Linked DNA regions of Caenorhabditis elegans. The protein of the gene in region 2 purifies or fractionates together with the protein of the main gene of each other region. This does not show direct contact. Each region holds a gene or a part of one and is shown on either strand. Other genes may lie near its edges.

The links.
Region 1: the proteins of lsy-13 (region 2) and mmab-1 fractionate together in Caenorhabditis elegans (co-fractionation; one large-scale study listed by BioGRID). This does not show direct contact.

What each region holds. Positions count from the first base shown.
Region 1 is NC_003281.10:4,919,935-4,924,046, reverse strand, and holds mmab-1 (Corrinoid adenosyltransferase MMAB), read left to right. Parts: upstream 1-2,299; 5' UTR 2,300-2,392; coding exon 2,393-2,429; intron 2,430-2,503; coding exon 2,504-2,755; intron 2,756-3,097; coding exon 3,098-3,320; intron 3,321-3,366; coding exon 3,367-3,499; 3' UTR 3,500-3,605; downstream 3,606-4,112. Other genes in the region: Histone-lysine N-methyltransferase set-2, read left to right, coding at 1-105, 153-464, 512-622, 672-836, 890-1,045; ula-1 (NEDD8-activating enzyme E1 regulatory subunit), read left to right, coding at 3,731-3,845, 3,893-4,112.
Region 2 is NC_003282.8:16,862,006-16,866,165, reverse strand, and holds lsy-13 (ING family member lsy-13), read right to left. Parts: upstream 2,297-4,160; 5' UTR 2,292-2,296; coding exon 2,073-2,291; intron 1,424-2,072; coding exon 1,097-1,423; intron 1,039-1,096; coding exon 841-1,038; 3' UTR 680-840; downstream 1-679. Other genes in the region: gtsf-1 (CHHC U11-48K-type domain-containing protein), read right to left, coding at 1-45, 108-193, 243-326; mel-46 (ATP-dependent RNA helicase), read left to right, coding at 2,728-2,908, 2,958-3,138, 3,335-3,390, 3,446-3,584, 3,650-3,774.

The DNA.
Region 1 (4,112 bases), on a different chromosome or scaffold from region 2:
GCACTTAATGAAATGCAAAGTGAAGTTAAAAGTGCTGATGAATTGCCCTGGAAGAAAATGTTAACCTTCAAAGAAATGTTGAGATCAGAAGATCCTCTGTTAAGAGTGAGTTATACTTTTACTACTATTCTATTCATCAACATAATTTTCAGCTCAACCCGATTCGTTCGAAAAAAGGACTGCCAGATGCTTTCTACGAGGATGAAGAACTCGATGGAGTAATTCCGGTAGCTGCTGGATGCTCTCGTGCTCGACCATACGAGAAGATGACAATGAAGCAGAAAAGGAGTCTTGTGAGACGTCCTGATAATGAATCGCATCCGACTGCAATCTTCAGTGAAAGAGATGAAACCGCGATTCGGCATCAGCATCTGGCCAGTAAAGATATGAGATTGCTCCAACGTCGATTGCTTACGTCACTTGGTGATGCTAACAATGATTTCTTCAAGATAAATCAGCTCAAAGTAGTTTTCCAAAAAAAAGATGTTTGCCATAAAACATAAATTTACAGTTCCGCAAAAAGATGATCAAGTTTGCACGTTCTCGTATTCACGGATGGGGTCTCTACGCGATGGAGTCGATTGCACCAGATGAGATGATTGTGGAGTATATAGGACAGACGGTCAGTTTTTTTTGTGAAATTAAATTCCGAAGTATTGATTTTTTTTCAGATCCGATCTCTGGTGGCCGAAGAACGAGAAAAGGCTTATGAACGTCGTGGAATCGGAAGTTCATATCTGTTCCGAATTGATCTGCATCATGTGATCGATGCAACAAAGCGTGGAAATTTTGCTCGATTTATTAATCACTCGTGCCAACCTAATTGCTACGCGAAGGTACGTAGTTAATTTGATAATCTGATTTTAAAAAAATAATTTAAAATTTTTAGGTTCTTACAATCGAAGGCGAGAAGCGGATAGTCATCTACAGCCGAACAATTATCAAGAAGGGTGAAGAAATCACGTATGACTACAAGTTCCCAATTGAAGACGACAAAATAGATTGTCTGTGTGGTGCGAAGACGTGTCGTGGATATCTTAATTGATATGATTCGTCTAGTTTTTAAAATTTATATTCCATTCGATCTCTTCTAGTTTTTTAATATTTTTTATTTATTTAAATTTTCCTATCCAATTCCCAATTCGCTGGTTCGAAGTTGGAAATTGCTATCTGATAAGAATAGGCCGGTTCCTACTTTTTTTTTAAATATTGAAAACTGTATCATTGTTATTCATTCTCCTTATGGTGAGCTGAGAAATCCTTGTATTATTAGTGGAATTCGTTATTGTTGAACAATTGTTTGAGTGTATGTTATACGATACAAGCTCCCCTTTTCAACTAGATACTTCTACATTTTATCAAATCTCTTGTTTCTCTATAGGTTTACGAATTGTTTTCTTGGAGGATTTCCTCTACAGTCTCTTGTTTATCTCTCTATACTTGAACATCTCTGAAATCATTCATTTTCCCTTGAACTCTGAACAATTGGTCTTTCCAAAACAACCTCCCATTCAAGTCTTTATTCATTCGTGTTTAAAGTTAATTTCAGCTAGTCTGAATAGTTTTATGTTTTAAAAAGTGTTTTATTATGTTCTTTAAATGAAATAATTTTAAAAGTCATGGTTTTCGTATTTTAAAAAATTTTGTTCATTTCAGTTCGATTCATATTTCTGGTATTTATCAGCGATAGTGAAGAGACCCGAAGAACTCGGGGGATGTCCAACTGGGGGGATTACCAACTCGGGGGATTGGCCCCGCCCACAGAACCGTGGCTTGCAATACGCCCATTTCTGCAACTGCCGCACGATTTTAAAATTGTATTTTTATCAATAGAGCGAGGATTAACAAGAAAAAATGATTTTAAAACCGTGCGGCAGTTGCAGAAATGGGCGTATTGCAAGCCACGGTTCTGTGGGCGGGGCCAATCCCCCGAGTTGGTAATCCCCCCAGTTGGACATCCCCCGAGTTCTTCGGGTCTCATAGTGAAAATTAAACAGGTTTTCCAGTTTACTATTTATTTAAAAAAATACCTATGTATATACATTTTTTTAAAAGTTACCTAGGTTCGAAACATGACCATTTTCGGTTCAAAAAATATGATACCGGATCTTTTCAATAATTCATGATTCGTTTTGTCATGTTTTTTGTTTCAATAATACCAGGGTAATATTATGCATCATCTCTCATACCAAATAATCTATAGAATAAGCTCGAAAATTTAAGAAAAATTTACCATTAGCAATTTCCTTGTCACCACGTAGTGGCCACTTTCAACTGATAAACCTATGTTTGCATTTAGATGATTCGGAGTTGCGTACGGTTGGCATCACAATCGACGAACAAACTTCTCATTTTTTCCTCATTGTCCCGTAACAGTCAACTCTACATTTCGATGAGCTCTTCTGATTTGGGAAGAGGATTTAAACAAGGTAAACGTCTAAAACCATCGATTATTTCAACTGAAAGAGCAACCGATTTTACTACGTTAAAATTAAATTTTCAGGCCGTGGAACTGGTGATTCTGGGCAATCTTCTCTGTACAACAATGAGCGTCGCTGGAAAGATGACGACACTTTCAATGCTCTCGGAGCAACCGATGAATTGTCTTCATTTCTTGGTGTCTGTGGAGCATCTGCTCAAAACGATGGTTCAATGAGCGATGTAGTGGAGACATTAACACGCCTTCAATGTTGTCTACAGGATGTTGGAGCTCATCTTGCTACTCCACCAAAAAATTCTTCGGAGAGAAAACAAAGTGTGTTTTTTTTCTAAAGAGTGAAAAATCTAAAGTTTCCGTTACCGATTTTCAATTTTGTATCTTTATTTTAAATCCCGGAAAATTCTTTCGAATCAAGAAAGTAGTCGAAGTGACTTGGTATTTTCAGAGAAAGTCAAAAAACTGAAATTTTTTCGGAAACCAAACAAATTTTTTCAAGTTTGGTTTATCAAAAAAAAAGTTAATTCTATTGAATTAAAATAAAATAAAAATCACATATAGAGGAAAGATCGGAGATTTTCATATGAAGGTCTCTGGCTTTATATTTTTCTAAAAAATAATTTTTAAAAATCACTATTGAGCCGTATTCTATTCTTTCAGAGAAAACTGCATTCGATATTGCAATGGTTGAATGGATAAATGCAGAAATCGATCGATACGGAGACGCGTTGCCTGCAATCCGACAATTTATTCTTTCTGGCGGTGGAATGACGTCTGCTCAATTACAGTATTCCCGCGCAATTTGTCGTCGAGCTGAACGGAGTATTGTTCCACTTATGAGAGACGAAGACGTCGATCCAATGGCATTAAAGTTCTTGAATAGGTACTATGGTTATCGATTCATCGTTAGTAAGAAATATCAATTTCAGAATGAGCGATCTTCTATTTGTTCTCGGTCGTACTGCCTGCATGAGAAACAAGAACGAAGAGCTGACATATCTTCGCCCCGATTCGTTCACCAATTTGAAATGGGATCGTAAATCTCTTCACGAGAAAAAATAATTTTTTTTATAAATATGTAGTTATCATTCTTGTGAAACTCGCCATACACTTCGTGTAAAATTTTTATTGAATAATCTTGCCATAAATATCAGATTTGTCTATATATATTTTTCTTTTTTGAGATTCTTTATAATTTTTTATATTAATTGATTGTGAACTCTTCATAATGTATATTTTTGTTTAGAAACCAAAACGAAATTTTCAGATTTCCAACTTGTATAATTTTAGAAAATGCTACCATTTGACCCATCCACTAGATACGATCGTCAAGTTCGACTTTGGGGAGAAGAAGGACAAGCATCAATTGGTTCAACAAGTGCATGTGTTCTTGGAAGCGATTCGCTAGGTATTTTTGAAAAAATTGAATTAAAAATCCAATCTAAATATTTTTAGCAACAGAAATATTGAAATCGTTGGTTCTCGCCGGTGTTCAATCATTCTATGTCGTTGATGACGCCAAAGTTGAACAAGCTGACATCGGTCAGAATTTCTTCCTCCATGCAGATGATATTGGACGTTCTCGTGCCGAGGCAACATTGGAGAAGCTTACCGAACTGAATCCATCAGTCTCTGGTAGTGCAAGTAGTCAGCCACCAACAGCGTTAGCTATGGA
Region 2 (4,160 bases):
TGGAGCTCTTCTTCGGGAAGGAAGTGACGCATGTTGTAGGAGCATCTAAAAAAAATAATGATAATTATTATAGAAAAATTGGAAAATTAATTGAGCAAAAAAAAAACCTCTTCAATTTCAACGAATGCGGGTAAAAATGCAATTTTTCCGTGCGACACTTCCACAAGTGCGTGTTGAACTCCTCCATTGACACCTGAAATATAAAATTTTTAATTTTAAATTAAAAATATATCAATTCCAACCTTGTGATCCGAATTGTAAGGGCATGTTATCGAAAATCGATCATTTTTTGAAGTCCCAGGGGCCTCCGATTCTCCCGACGCCATCTAAAATTTCGAAAAATCAATAAATTCGATGAAAAATTGGATAAAATCGCCAAAAAAATTGGATGAAATCGAGGAAAAATTCTTGGGCGGGGCTTCGTAAATCTACACGCAATTGTGCCGCACGGGGTTTTGCAAGGAGTGGGCATGGAAAAAAGCCTTGACCGCGACGCATCGGCGTGCGGAGCGGCTCGAAAAAATGTATTTATTTCAGCGATTTCACCGAAAAAATTGAAAATCCAGCAATTTTAAAGGAAAAACCCAACAAAAATCCAAGTTTAATCAATAAATCGTTAATTTTCAGTTCAAAATCTGAATAAAATTCATCAGAACCGTTGTGAGAGTCAGAAAAAATAATTTTTTAAACAGAAATTTATATGCAAACAAGTTTCAGTTTATCATAGAATAATAAAGCAAAATGGGAGATCAAACCAATACAATTTTGTGATCATCGGATGATTTTTTTTCAAATAAAATAGGTACACAAGCGGCAAATCAAAGAAAAAAAACCAATTATTCACTTCTTCTTCTTCAATCCCTTTCGTTGTGGAGCCTTCTGCGGAGCCTCTGCAACCGCCGCGAGACCCTGTGCACGGCACTCATTGGTGCAATACCAGTCGCCGGCTGGAGCAGTGATCATTCCGATGCATGTGAAGTGGAACCATCCGTACTTGCAGCCCGGATTCTCGCATTCGATCATTGTGTCGTTTTTATCCTGAAATTATCCCAATTTGGCGATATTAAGCGGCGGCGGAAGCTCACGGAGCCCTTACCAGTTGACACCAGCAGTACATTTTCGGTGGCTCGGCGGCGGCCACTGCTTTCTCGGATTCTGGCTTTTTCTTCCGACCGCGCTTCTTCTCATCCACCGACGACGGAGCATCATCATCTCCCTCGGAAAGCTTCTTCTTACGATGACTTCGCACTGACGGAGAACTGCTTGGCGGAGTTTCCGGTGCTTTTGGAATCTTATTCAGGTTTTCAATGAACTTTTGCTCTTCTTCCATGAATTTCCCGTAGACATCCTTCAGAAGAACCTTCAAACCGCTCGCAATCTCTATTTTTTGGTCGGAATATTCGGAAACTTTCGCCATTTTCTTCTGAAAATTGATAAATTCGCATTTTTTAGGTGAAAAAATCATAAAAATTTGGATTTATAGGTGAAAAATCACAAAAATTGCGATTTTTAGGTGAAAAAATCATGAAAATTGTGATTTCTAGCTGAAAAATTATAAAAACTGGAATTTTTAGGGGAAAAAGCATAAAAATTGGGTTTTTTAGGTGAGAAAATCATAAAAATTTGGATTTTTAGATAAAAAAATCACAAAAATTGCGATTTTTAAGTGAAAAAATCATAAAAATTTGTATTTTTAGGTGAAAAAATCACAAAAATTGTGATTTCTAGCTGAAAAATTATAAAAATTGGAATTTTTAGATGAAAAAATAATAAAAATTGCGATTTTTAGGTGAAAAAATCACAAACATTGCGATTTTTAGGTGAAAAATCATAAAAATTTGGATTTTTAGGTGAAAAAAATTATAAAAATTGGGTTTTTTAGGTGAAAAAATCAAAAAAATTTCGATTTTTCGCCTAAAAATCGCGATTTTTATGATATTTTCACCTAAAAATCCAAATTTTTATAATTTTTTCATCTAAAAACCGCGATTTTCATGATTTTTTCACCTATAAACCGCAATTTTCAAACTTTCGCCATTTTCTTCTGAAAATTGTTAAATTAGGAGCTAAACCTGCATAAAAGTGAACGCTTTGGTCTTTTGTTCGGCCGTCATTTCCTCATAATTCGCAAAAAATTCGATTTTGTGCTTTTTAGCAACTTCCATCTCCTTCTTCGCAAGAATATCGAGCCGTTCAATCTCGACAATTGCTTTTTTCGCTTTTTCCGGAACTTCTCTATTGATTTTCGAGAAAACTTGGATCATATCGATGACGCAATCGTCGATTTCCATTTTTAAGCTGAAAAATGCAATTTTTGAGGAAAATCAGAGTTTTAATGGCATTTTTCGTTTCAAAATCCATTAAATTAACTTTTAATTTCATTTTTTTAAACAAAAAATGTGCTAAGAGTCATTAAATCAATAAAAAACCAAAGATTTCCCGCAAAAAACAATGACAAAAAAACAACAAAAAAGTGTGCGGCGCTATTGCGTTCGCTAAACTCCGCCCATAGAACCGCGCCCCGTTGCGAAATTTGCGAAATTAGATATTTTTCAGCGGTTTTTTTAATGAATTTTCCGTCCAAAAAATCGAGTTTCAACTGATTTTTTCGCGTTAAAAACCAAGAAAATTATTGATTTTTCCAATTTACTCGGTAAAAATCCCGAAAAAGCCATTAAAATCTGTAAAAGTACAGAAAAATACAGCAATTTTTAATTTTCAGAGCCAATGGAGTTCTCCGAGGTAATCGAGGTATTAGACCGCGGCAGCTCGATCGATGTCCAATCGAATTGCACGTTCGAGTCGCTGATGATCGGACAAAAGACGCTGGAACGTCTGAAAAATAGCCAATTCGACAGGCCGTCTCCAGTTCAGGCCCGGGCCATCCCAGTCGGCTTGCTGGGAAGAGGTCAGCCTATTTATAAGGGCCTGGGCCTTAAAAACTGCTATTTTTTCAGATATGCTTGTTCAGGCCAAGTCAGGAACCGGAAAAACGCTCGTTTTCTCGGTTTTAGCCGTAGAAAACCTGGATTCTCGATCTTCACACATCCAAAAAGTCATTGTGACTCCGACGAGAGAGATTTCTGTTCAAATTAAGGAAACTGTGCGGAAAGTCGCTCCGACCGGCGCTAGAACTTCGTAAGAAGACCCAGGAATCGTGAAAATCCCAATTTTTATGATATTTTCACCTAAAAATCGAAATTTTTATGACTTTTTCCCCTAAAAAACCCGAATTTTTGTGATTTTTCACCTAAAAATTCAAATTTTTATATTTTTTCACCTCAAAAATCCGAATTTTTATGATTTTTTCACCGAAAAACCGCAATTTTTTCAGAGTATACGTTGGAGGATCCGCTCACAAGCTGAATCTCATCGATTTGAAGCAAACGCGTGGGTTTTTAAGCCAAATTATCTGAAAATTCCGCATTTTTTCTCTATTTTTCAGGCCCACAAATCGTCATTGGAACTCCTGGTCGGATAGCACAGCTCGTCAAGCTCGGAGCAATGAACATGTCCCATGTGGACTTTTTTGTGCTCGATGAGGCGGATAAGCTGATGGATGAAGTGTTTAGAGATGATATAAAGTACGAAAAATCATAGTTTTTCCCCCCCCCCCCCCCCCCCCCCCGAAAAACCTCGGATTTTTCAGTATTATCATCAATTCTCTGCCTCAAATCCGCCAAGTTGCCGTGTTTTCAGCCACCTACCCGCGAAATCTTGACAATTTGTTGTCGACTTTTCTCCGCGACGCGGCACTTGTTCGGTTTAACGCTGGTACTGAAAACAACACATGTTTTTTATTGGAAAACACTGGAAAAATTGCATTTTCCGCGAAAAACTAGTTAATTTTAGCTTAAAAATTGGCTAAAATGATGAAATATCACGTTTTCTCGTTGAAAAAAATAATTTTTCGAGCCGCTCCGCACGCGTGGCTGCGTCGCGGTCATGGCCGCGGACGAAGTTTCCAGCCCTCAGCCATTGCAATATTTTAGGGAATTTTAGCCTTTTTCGCAATTTTTTGCTGGAATCTTAATTAATTTTAGCTTGGAAGTTAGCTAAAATCATTAAAAATCGAAATTTTATCGAAAACGAAATTTGCAATTTTTAATTTTTTGAAAGCAAAAATCTTTTCCAAAATCGCAAAAAAATCCCGATTTTTA